Linked DNA regions of Pelodiscus sinensis. The protein of the gene in region 2 interacts with the protein of the main gene of each other region in a pairwise test. Links are inferred from orthologs where the notes say so. Each region holds a gene or a part of one and is shown on either strand. Other genes may lie near its edges.

Evidence for each region.
Region 1: the proteins of PIH1D2 (region 2) and IGF2BP3 interact in a two-hybrid assay, tested with the Homo sapiens proteins (2 studies listed by BioGRID and IntAct). The two-hybrid records come from large-scale screens. The link is inferred for Pelodiscus sinensis from reciprocal best matches to the Homo sapiens genes PIH1D2 and IGF2BP3.

The regions. Positions count from the first base shown.
Region 1 is NC_134712.1:198,981,911-198,985,655, forward strand, and holds the start of IGF2BP3 (insulin-like growth factor 2 mRNA-binding protein 3), read left to right. Parts: upstream 1-740; 5' UTR 741-1,044; intron 1,045-1,652; 5' UTR 1,653-1,655; coding exon 1,656-1,830; intron 1,831-3,436; coding exon 3,437-3,497; intron 3,498-3,745. UniProt on the Homo sapiens protein: RNA-binding factor that may recruit target transcripts to cytoplasmic protein-RNA complexes (mRNPs). This transcript 'caging' into mRNPs allows mRNA transport and transient storage.
Region 2 is NC_134736.1:6,937,176-6,940,920, forward strand, and holds the start of PIH1D2 (PIH1 domain-containing protein 2), read right to left. Parts: upstream 2,764-3,745; 5' UTR 2,648-2,763; intron 1,879-2,647; exon of another isoform or gene 1,740-1,878; intron 1,433-1,739; 5' UTR 1,383-1,432; coding exon 1,200-1,382; intron 1-1,199.

The DNA of each region.
Region 1 (3,745 bases), on a different chromosome or scaffold from region 2:
TTACAAATGTTGAAAATTATGAATGGTTCTTTAAACCAAAAGGGGGAGGGGGATATCGCAAAATCGGAGGGTAACGCTGGTTGGCCAGTCTTCACATTTTCTAAGATCAGATCCACCATTAACTAGATTAAAAGAAAGGAGGACACATTTTTTTCCTTTTAGTAGAAAGGAGAAGAGCATGTTATTCTCACTCTGGACTCTCCCACTTCTTAATCATTTTCCAACTGTCCTGCGTCCCACCCCTTTGTCCTCTTCTCCGTACAGCTCCATTCCACATACATTGCAACTCATACTAATCAACCCACCAGAAACATTACCAGATGGGGGGCTCCTTCTAGGCTGGAAAGACCCTCATTTCCCCCTTCCCGCTCCCCTCCCTCATTCAGTCCCTTGTCTTTCCCCAGCGCTCAGCCAATTGCAAACAAGAAACCAGAAAGCCACCAAACATGAAATCGCAGGCAAAGGTGCTGCGCATGGAGAGATCGCTCAGGGAAGTGCTAATAAGAATATTACCCCCGCAGTTTTCCTAAGTACCCCTCCCCTCCTCGCTGGTGAGTCACCCTCGCCAAGGGCTCGAGCCAGCTTGCAGGGAGAGCAGAGTTTGCACGAACGACCCCTAAGAATAATACTGGTGGCTTCGCATCACGGGGGAAGGGTGGGGGGCGTGGGCATTATAATGGCATGTTTCCCTCCTTCCTGGAATCCCCTCGGCGATTGCCCCCGCCCCGAGAGAGCGTGCGTCTTCTCCTCCCGCAGCTGTTTGTGCTCGCTCGCTGCTTGCCGAAGAGACAGAGTTGGCCGCAGCAAAGCGAGGCCGGGCGTTATTTGCGAGTGGGCGTGTGCTCGGGGGAAGGGCCGAGCCGCCGGCCGCAGCCTGGAACAGGGGCTGAGAGGGAACACGCGCTCGGGGCCAGCGCCCATCAAACTCCCGATCTCCCTCTTTCTAGTCCCCAGCCCTCTTCAACTTGTCCCTGTGTGCTGTGCGCAGCCCGCCTCTGCCTCCTCCCCCGGCCTGTCCCTCACCCAATCTCTCCGCCTCCTCCGGTGAGTGTGTGTGTGTGAGAGCCGCCGAGCTACGGCCGCTATCTAATTGAGGAGCTGGGATTCCTCACGTGAGAAGTTGATTTGTAGTTTGAACACGTGGCTCATTCAAAAAGCCGGAATATTCAAGTAATTTTCTTCCTCCCCCCTCTTGGTTTTTTTTTTTAATTGAGAGGCGGCGCCTCCATGCACGTAGTGTGACATTTTCGTAGCCCGCCTGCTGTCGCCGTTGCCAAACGGGCTTGGGGGCAAGACAAAAAAAGTAGTTTATCTCCCCCTCCTCCTCCTTTCTCAGCCCGCCATCCTAGTCCCCACGCTGGGTGTTTCCCCCTGGCCTCCCCTCCGCGCCCGGCTCACGCAGCATTCACTCCGGATTCCGATTTGGAGACAGTTTTTTTTTTTTTTACCCCGGGAGAGAGCAAGCAAGGGAGGGTGGGAGGGACTCAGGCTGCAGATCTGATTTTTTTTCCACCTCGCTCTCTCTCGCTCGCTCTCCTCCATCGCATTTTATTTTCTCCCCCCCCTCCCCTCCTCACCTTATTTTTGCAAGCCCGGGCTGTAATTTGTTGCGCGTGTGTGGATTGTGGGTGTTTTTTTTTTAAACGAGCAAGACCATGAACAAGCTGTACATCGGCAACCTCGGCGAGAGCGTGAGCCCGCTGGACCTGGAAAGTCTCTTTAAGGAGTCCAAGATCCCCTTCACGGGCCAGTTTCTGGTGAAGACGGGATACGCGTTCGTCGACTGCCCCGATGATAACTGGGCTATGAAGGCCATCGAGGCACTTTCAGGTGAGTCTCTTCAGGAACCCCCCCCCCATCTCATTGCCCCCCGGCAGCTCCTCTTCCCTCACCCACAGAACCCCCCTTATCTCGCCGCTTCCACGCCGGGGAGACCCCGCAATCTGTCCCTGCCTTGCCAAGGGGGTGGGGGCGAGGTGGGTGCGCTGGGGGCTGCAAGGCAGGAGCTGGGGGGGGCTGCGGCCCCCGGGCACGGCGGCAGGTAGCGGGCACGCCGGGGTGTGACATCCCGCTGCTTTCTGGCCTCCGCAGCTCGGGGCTTGCGTTGCAGCCGGGGGGCCATAGGAGGGGGCCGGGGTGCGCTAGGCTGGCTCTGGCGGCGCGGGAGGTGGCCAAGGCGGCGTTTTCCCCCCCATCGCTTCCAAGAGGCCGGGGCAGAGGCACCAGCCTGGGCCCAGACACCTACCACGCCGGGGCTCCCATAGTCCTTCCCCCGCCCCGACGGACAATCCTGGCTTCCCTGCGAGCGCCCGGGGACGCGGGGGACTTTGCAGCAAGGGGAGGCCGGGCCGTGCAATGGTTTCGGGGGGCCACGCCAAGGTTAGGGTGCGGAGGGGAAACAGCCCTTCTTCCGGCATAGTGCGCAGGGGCGGCGGGCGAGCCCTGCTCTGTGCACACAGCGCGCACCCATAGGCGCTCCCTGCCCAGCGTGTCGCCCCGGCAGCCGGGCTGCGGGCTTGGCAGAAGCCGCCTTCTGGGTGCACTTGGAAGGAGTTGGCTGGCGAAGCTCCCGGCCCCACGCGGGGTGTTGCACGGAGCCGACGCATGCTCCAGCCTTCCCTGCAGCACTGGAGAGTAACCCAAACTCGGGAGAGTAAAGGCCCCCACCCCGGGGTGAGGAGCTGGCAGGGCTCGGCGCTGGAGGGCTGCATTCCTTCGGGATTATTTATTTCGCTTTCCCTTTGCCTGCCTCTCCCGCACCCCCCGTCACTTGCAGCAGCCAGGCCGCCTCTCTGTCTCTACATCCTGTTTTTGTGAAAAAAGCAATGTAGCCTGCTTGACTCGGTTTGCAGAGGCTTGAGGAGGGGAAGCTCCTGGGGCTTTGAGGCCCCCTCTAAAATCCTGTCTTTTCATCCATCCCTCCTCCAGAAAATGCCATGAAGTTTAAATCGAGGCCTGTCGCCCTGTGGGACGCGTTGGAGGTAGCCGAGGGAGGGAGGGGTGCCCAGAATAGGCAAGTAGGGGAGACACAAGCGTTTTCACACAACCCTGAAGCATTCCCAGTGTCTTCTCTCTTTGAGCTCCAGGGCTTTGATCAGCTCATCCCAGCGAAATTTGTATCTGTATTACAGATCACTTCGAGAAAATGGGTCAAATACACGTAGAGGTACCTTTTAAAACAGCGTCTTTCACTTACCCTTTCGGCCAATTATTGTGCTAAAGGACGTATTAAAAGTGAAGTCTCTTGGCTTGTGGTTGCAATTTGCCACTATACTGTTGTTACACCAGTTATTAATAAATAAGCGAATGTGTTGCACTTTTAATTTCCTGTGCTGTTTTAAAACACCACATATTCAATTTGAGAAGAGGGGGGCAATGAGAGAGTCCTTCAAACACATTTAAAAACACTTTCCCCTAATTTTGTTTTTATTTTCAGGTAAAGTGGAACTGCATGGTAAACTCATAGAAGTTGAACATTCAGTCCCTAAAAGACAAAGGTAAATATTTTTTTTCTTGCCCTTGTCTGCTACAGCAAAATCAAAACAAAATGCTTAAGTTATGTTTGTTTCCTTGTGGATAAATGAACTACTTTATTAAATTAGAAAACCACTATTGATATCAGAAATAAATCCAGAATAATCTCTTTATATTTTTAACATATTAGTCTGCAGCCTATAGAAGCCAACCTCTTCATGGAGGAAGCAGGTTGTGATTGAAAGACTAATAATTATTACCAATGATAAAT
Region 2 (3,745 bases):
GTATTGTGCTTATTGAACATACCCTAAATTTTCATGTTACATTATGGCTGTGTCTACACTGGCATGAATTTCCGGAACTGCTTAAAACGGAATACTATTCCGTTTTCAGTTTTTCCGGAAAAGGAGCATCTACATTGGCAGGCTGCTTTTCCGGAAAAGTCCTTTTTCCGGAAAAGCGTCTGTGGCCAATGTAGACGCGCTTTTCCAGAAAAGAGCCCCGATCGCCATTTTTGCAATCAGGGCTTTTTTCCAGAAAAGACTACTGGGCTGTCTACACTGGCCCTTTTCCGGAACAGTGTTTCGGAATAAGGACTTATGCCCGAGCGGGAGCAGAATAGTTTTTCCGGAATAGCGGCTGATTTTATACAGTAGAGCGTCATTGCTTTTCCGGAAATTCCAGGGCCAGTGTAGACAGCTCACAGCTTATTCCGGAAAAGCGGCTGATTTTCTGGAATAAGTGGCCCAGTGTAGACGCAGCCTAAGTGATCTGCTATAATAATCAATACTGGCAGAATCTCAGACCTAGGAATCCAGCTTCCTAGGAATCCAGCTGGAATGCATTCTAGTTTATTACAGAACCTCAGCCCATAATGTATTTCTACCTTAATTATATGCGATTTTCACCAGACTCTTACTTTTAACATGATCACTGCTTGGTTTAATTAGGACTAGCTCTGCATTTAGTACTAGAATTTATATCTGCATCTACTGCTCTTTCCAGCCACATGTAAACATGTTTTGCAGCAGATATATAGACCAGTTTGATAACTTGACACTGGCCATTGTTCAGTGCTTCTGTGGAAATATAAATCTTCCATAATGCACCTCTTTGCACCCTTTATGTTAAGCAAGTGCCTCACACTCTGAAGGACAAAGCATGAGAACCTTTATCATAGTTATCCTAACCAGTGGCATGGCAGAGGCTATTTTTACTTACAAAGTCTAATCTTTTTTTTAGGCTGAATGATATCCTCATTCCTTCCTCCACTGGTGTGTCTCAGTTGAGTCTCTAGCAGTGAACTCTGGTGCTCAGAAGGACCTTCAGCCACTCCTAAGGGTATTCAGATAGCTTGCAAGGGCTCCTGTGACACAGCTCAGCTATTAGTGGCTAGTCCAGGTACACCCATTGTTTCCCTGGCAGATGCAATCCTAGTGGAATCTCATAGCTCTCTTATAGTAAAAGCCCTTGAACCACGTACCAAGATGTGGGTCTGTAGACAAAGATGTGGTTCAGGGGGAGCACAATATTGCTTTGCATCCTCCAGCTGCTGCTGCATGAATCTGTGGTAACTCTCAGGAGTGCTTTCTGCCATTTCATCCAGCATGTTCCAGAACTGGGTCACTTGGGTCAGCATGTCCTCGGGGCAAGAAGGAGCAGCCATGATTAGCACAAATGTCCCTCAGGAAGCAGCACAGATGCTATTCTTCATGCCTATAGGTGAAAAAGGAGCATTAGGGGGAGTATCTGCTTTGAACTGCTGCCCTTCACAGGTCCTCGACTCCAAGAAAAAATCTATTTTAATATCAAGAAAAAAGATGGGATTTCTATCTGCCATTTGGTCTCCACCCCCTTTATCCACCCTGGGAATCATGCTCTTCCGATAGTCACCTTCCTCATCACCCCACCTGTTCCTCAGTGTCTCCCTATTACCACTACCATTACCCTCTTCCCTGCCCTTTGCCTTGACCTGCTAGATCCCAGGGCTGTGAACTGTCCCCACTCCCCACCATCCACCTACCCCTAGGTTCCAGTGCCTCATGCTGCCTCCAGCAACTCCCTGCCCCAAGCTGCCCCTTAACTCAACCCCAAAGTCCCGGGCTGCCTCTTGACGTGATCCCAGCACCCCATGCTGTCCCCTTGCCCCCATCCCACTGCCCCAAGCTGCCCCTTGACCCCCATCCCAGCGCCCCGAGCTGCCCCCTTGGCCCCCATCCCAGTGCCCCGAGCTGTCCCCTTGGCCCCCATCCCAGCGCCCCGAGCTGCCCCCTTGGCCCCCATCCCAGCGCCCCGAGCTGTCCCCTTGGCCCCCATCCCAGCGCCCCGAGCTGCCCCCTTGGCCCCCATCCCAGCGCTCCGAGCTGCCCCTTGGCCCCCATCCCAGCGCCCCGAGCTGCCCCCTTGGCCCCCATCCCAGCGCCCCGAGCTGTCCCCTTGGCCCCCATCCCAGCGCCCCGAGCTGCCCCCTTGGCCCCCATCCCAGCGCCCCGAGCTGTCCCCTTGGCCCCCATCCCAGCGCCCCGAGCTGCCCCCTTGGCCCCCATCCCAGCGCCCCGAGCTGCCCCTTGGCCCCCATCCCAGCGCCCCGAGCTGCCCCTTGGCCCCCATCCCAGCGCCCCGAGCTGCCCCCTTGGCCCCCATCCCAGCGCCCCGAGCTGTCCCCTTGCCCCCACCCCAGCGCCCCGAGCTGTCCCCTTAGCCCCATCCCAGCGCCCCGAGCTGCCCCTTGGCCCCCATCCCAGCGCCCCGAGCTGCCCCTTGGCCCCCATCCCAGTGCCCCGAGCTGGCCCCTTGGCCCCCATCCCAGCGCCCCGAGCTGCTCCAAGGCCCCGACTCTAATGCCCCGAGCTTCCCGCTGGCCTCCACCCTAGCCCGGAGCTCCGAGCGGCCCTTTGCTCCCTTCCCCCTCACGCGCCACACAGCTCCTACCTCGCGACACCAGAAGCCGTTTCCATAACAACCGACGTGAGAAAAACCGGAAGTGGAAGTGACGTTAGCCCTCCAATCCTTGCGTTCCTTACTGGGTCCCTAGGTCCCGCCTCCGGTTCGGGCCCTCCGCAGCCGGGTGCGTCCGGTGGAAGCACTTCCGGGTCACGCACTTCCGGGCTGGGGGGAGTAGTCCCCCTCCCTCCGCGGGTGAGAAGGGCGTTGGGTCGGGAGGGGGGCTGAGCTGGGGGAGGGACCTGGGGCTTCTGGGGGAGGATGTGAGGAGGGGGTCTTGGGGGGGGGGGGGGCAGAGGATTGCGGGGGGGGGTCCTCCCCAGGTCTGACTGGATCTGTGCCCCCCCCCCATATGCCCAGCGCTGTGGCAGCCACTCACTGCCCCACGCTCCCTGCCGGCTGGCGCTGCCTCCGCTTCCCCCATCACGGCCCCCAGCCTGGCTCCACGTGTGGCTGCTGATGGGTCCCAGGCGGGCTGGTGTTTTGGGTCGAAGCCCATTTCCCTAGACCTCCCTCCCCTCTTCCCGCTTTCCGGGAGGCCTCTTTATTTTCCACCCTAACATGCTGCGAGCTGTCAGCTAGCTGCTGGCTGACACCACGGGGGGGCTGCATTGAGCTGGGCGGTGAATGGCTGTATCTGTAGGGCCTGGGTCTCTCCTCATGTTCGTTTTTCACCAGCATAGCTCCGTTGGTTTCAGCGCAGTCTCATCTGACTTGTGCGGAGCGAGGTAAGCGCAGGATCAGATCCACCACGTGAAAGGTGATCAACATGGACATTAGACTAATAAATACTTTGTTTCCCGCTTCTCATTGATATGTGCGATACGAGATACAGAGGTTTATCAGGAACTCTGAACGTGGGCATCAGTTACTGCATGATCCTTTCTAAGCCCTGTATGTGAAGAGTGGCTCTAAGAAGTCTTCGTTTTGGGGTAATGCAGTGTTTTCTTAGGGAACACAAATGTCAGCCTGAGTCAATAACATGTTTTCTGTCATACAGGTGGAAAAAAATTGCTTTTAAGCTTTGTCTCAGTCCTGACGAGCATTTTCTGCATTAAAGAGTCTTATATGTGATTCTCTAATTGC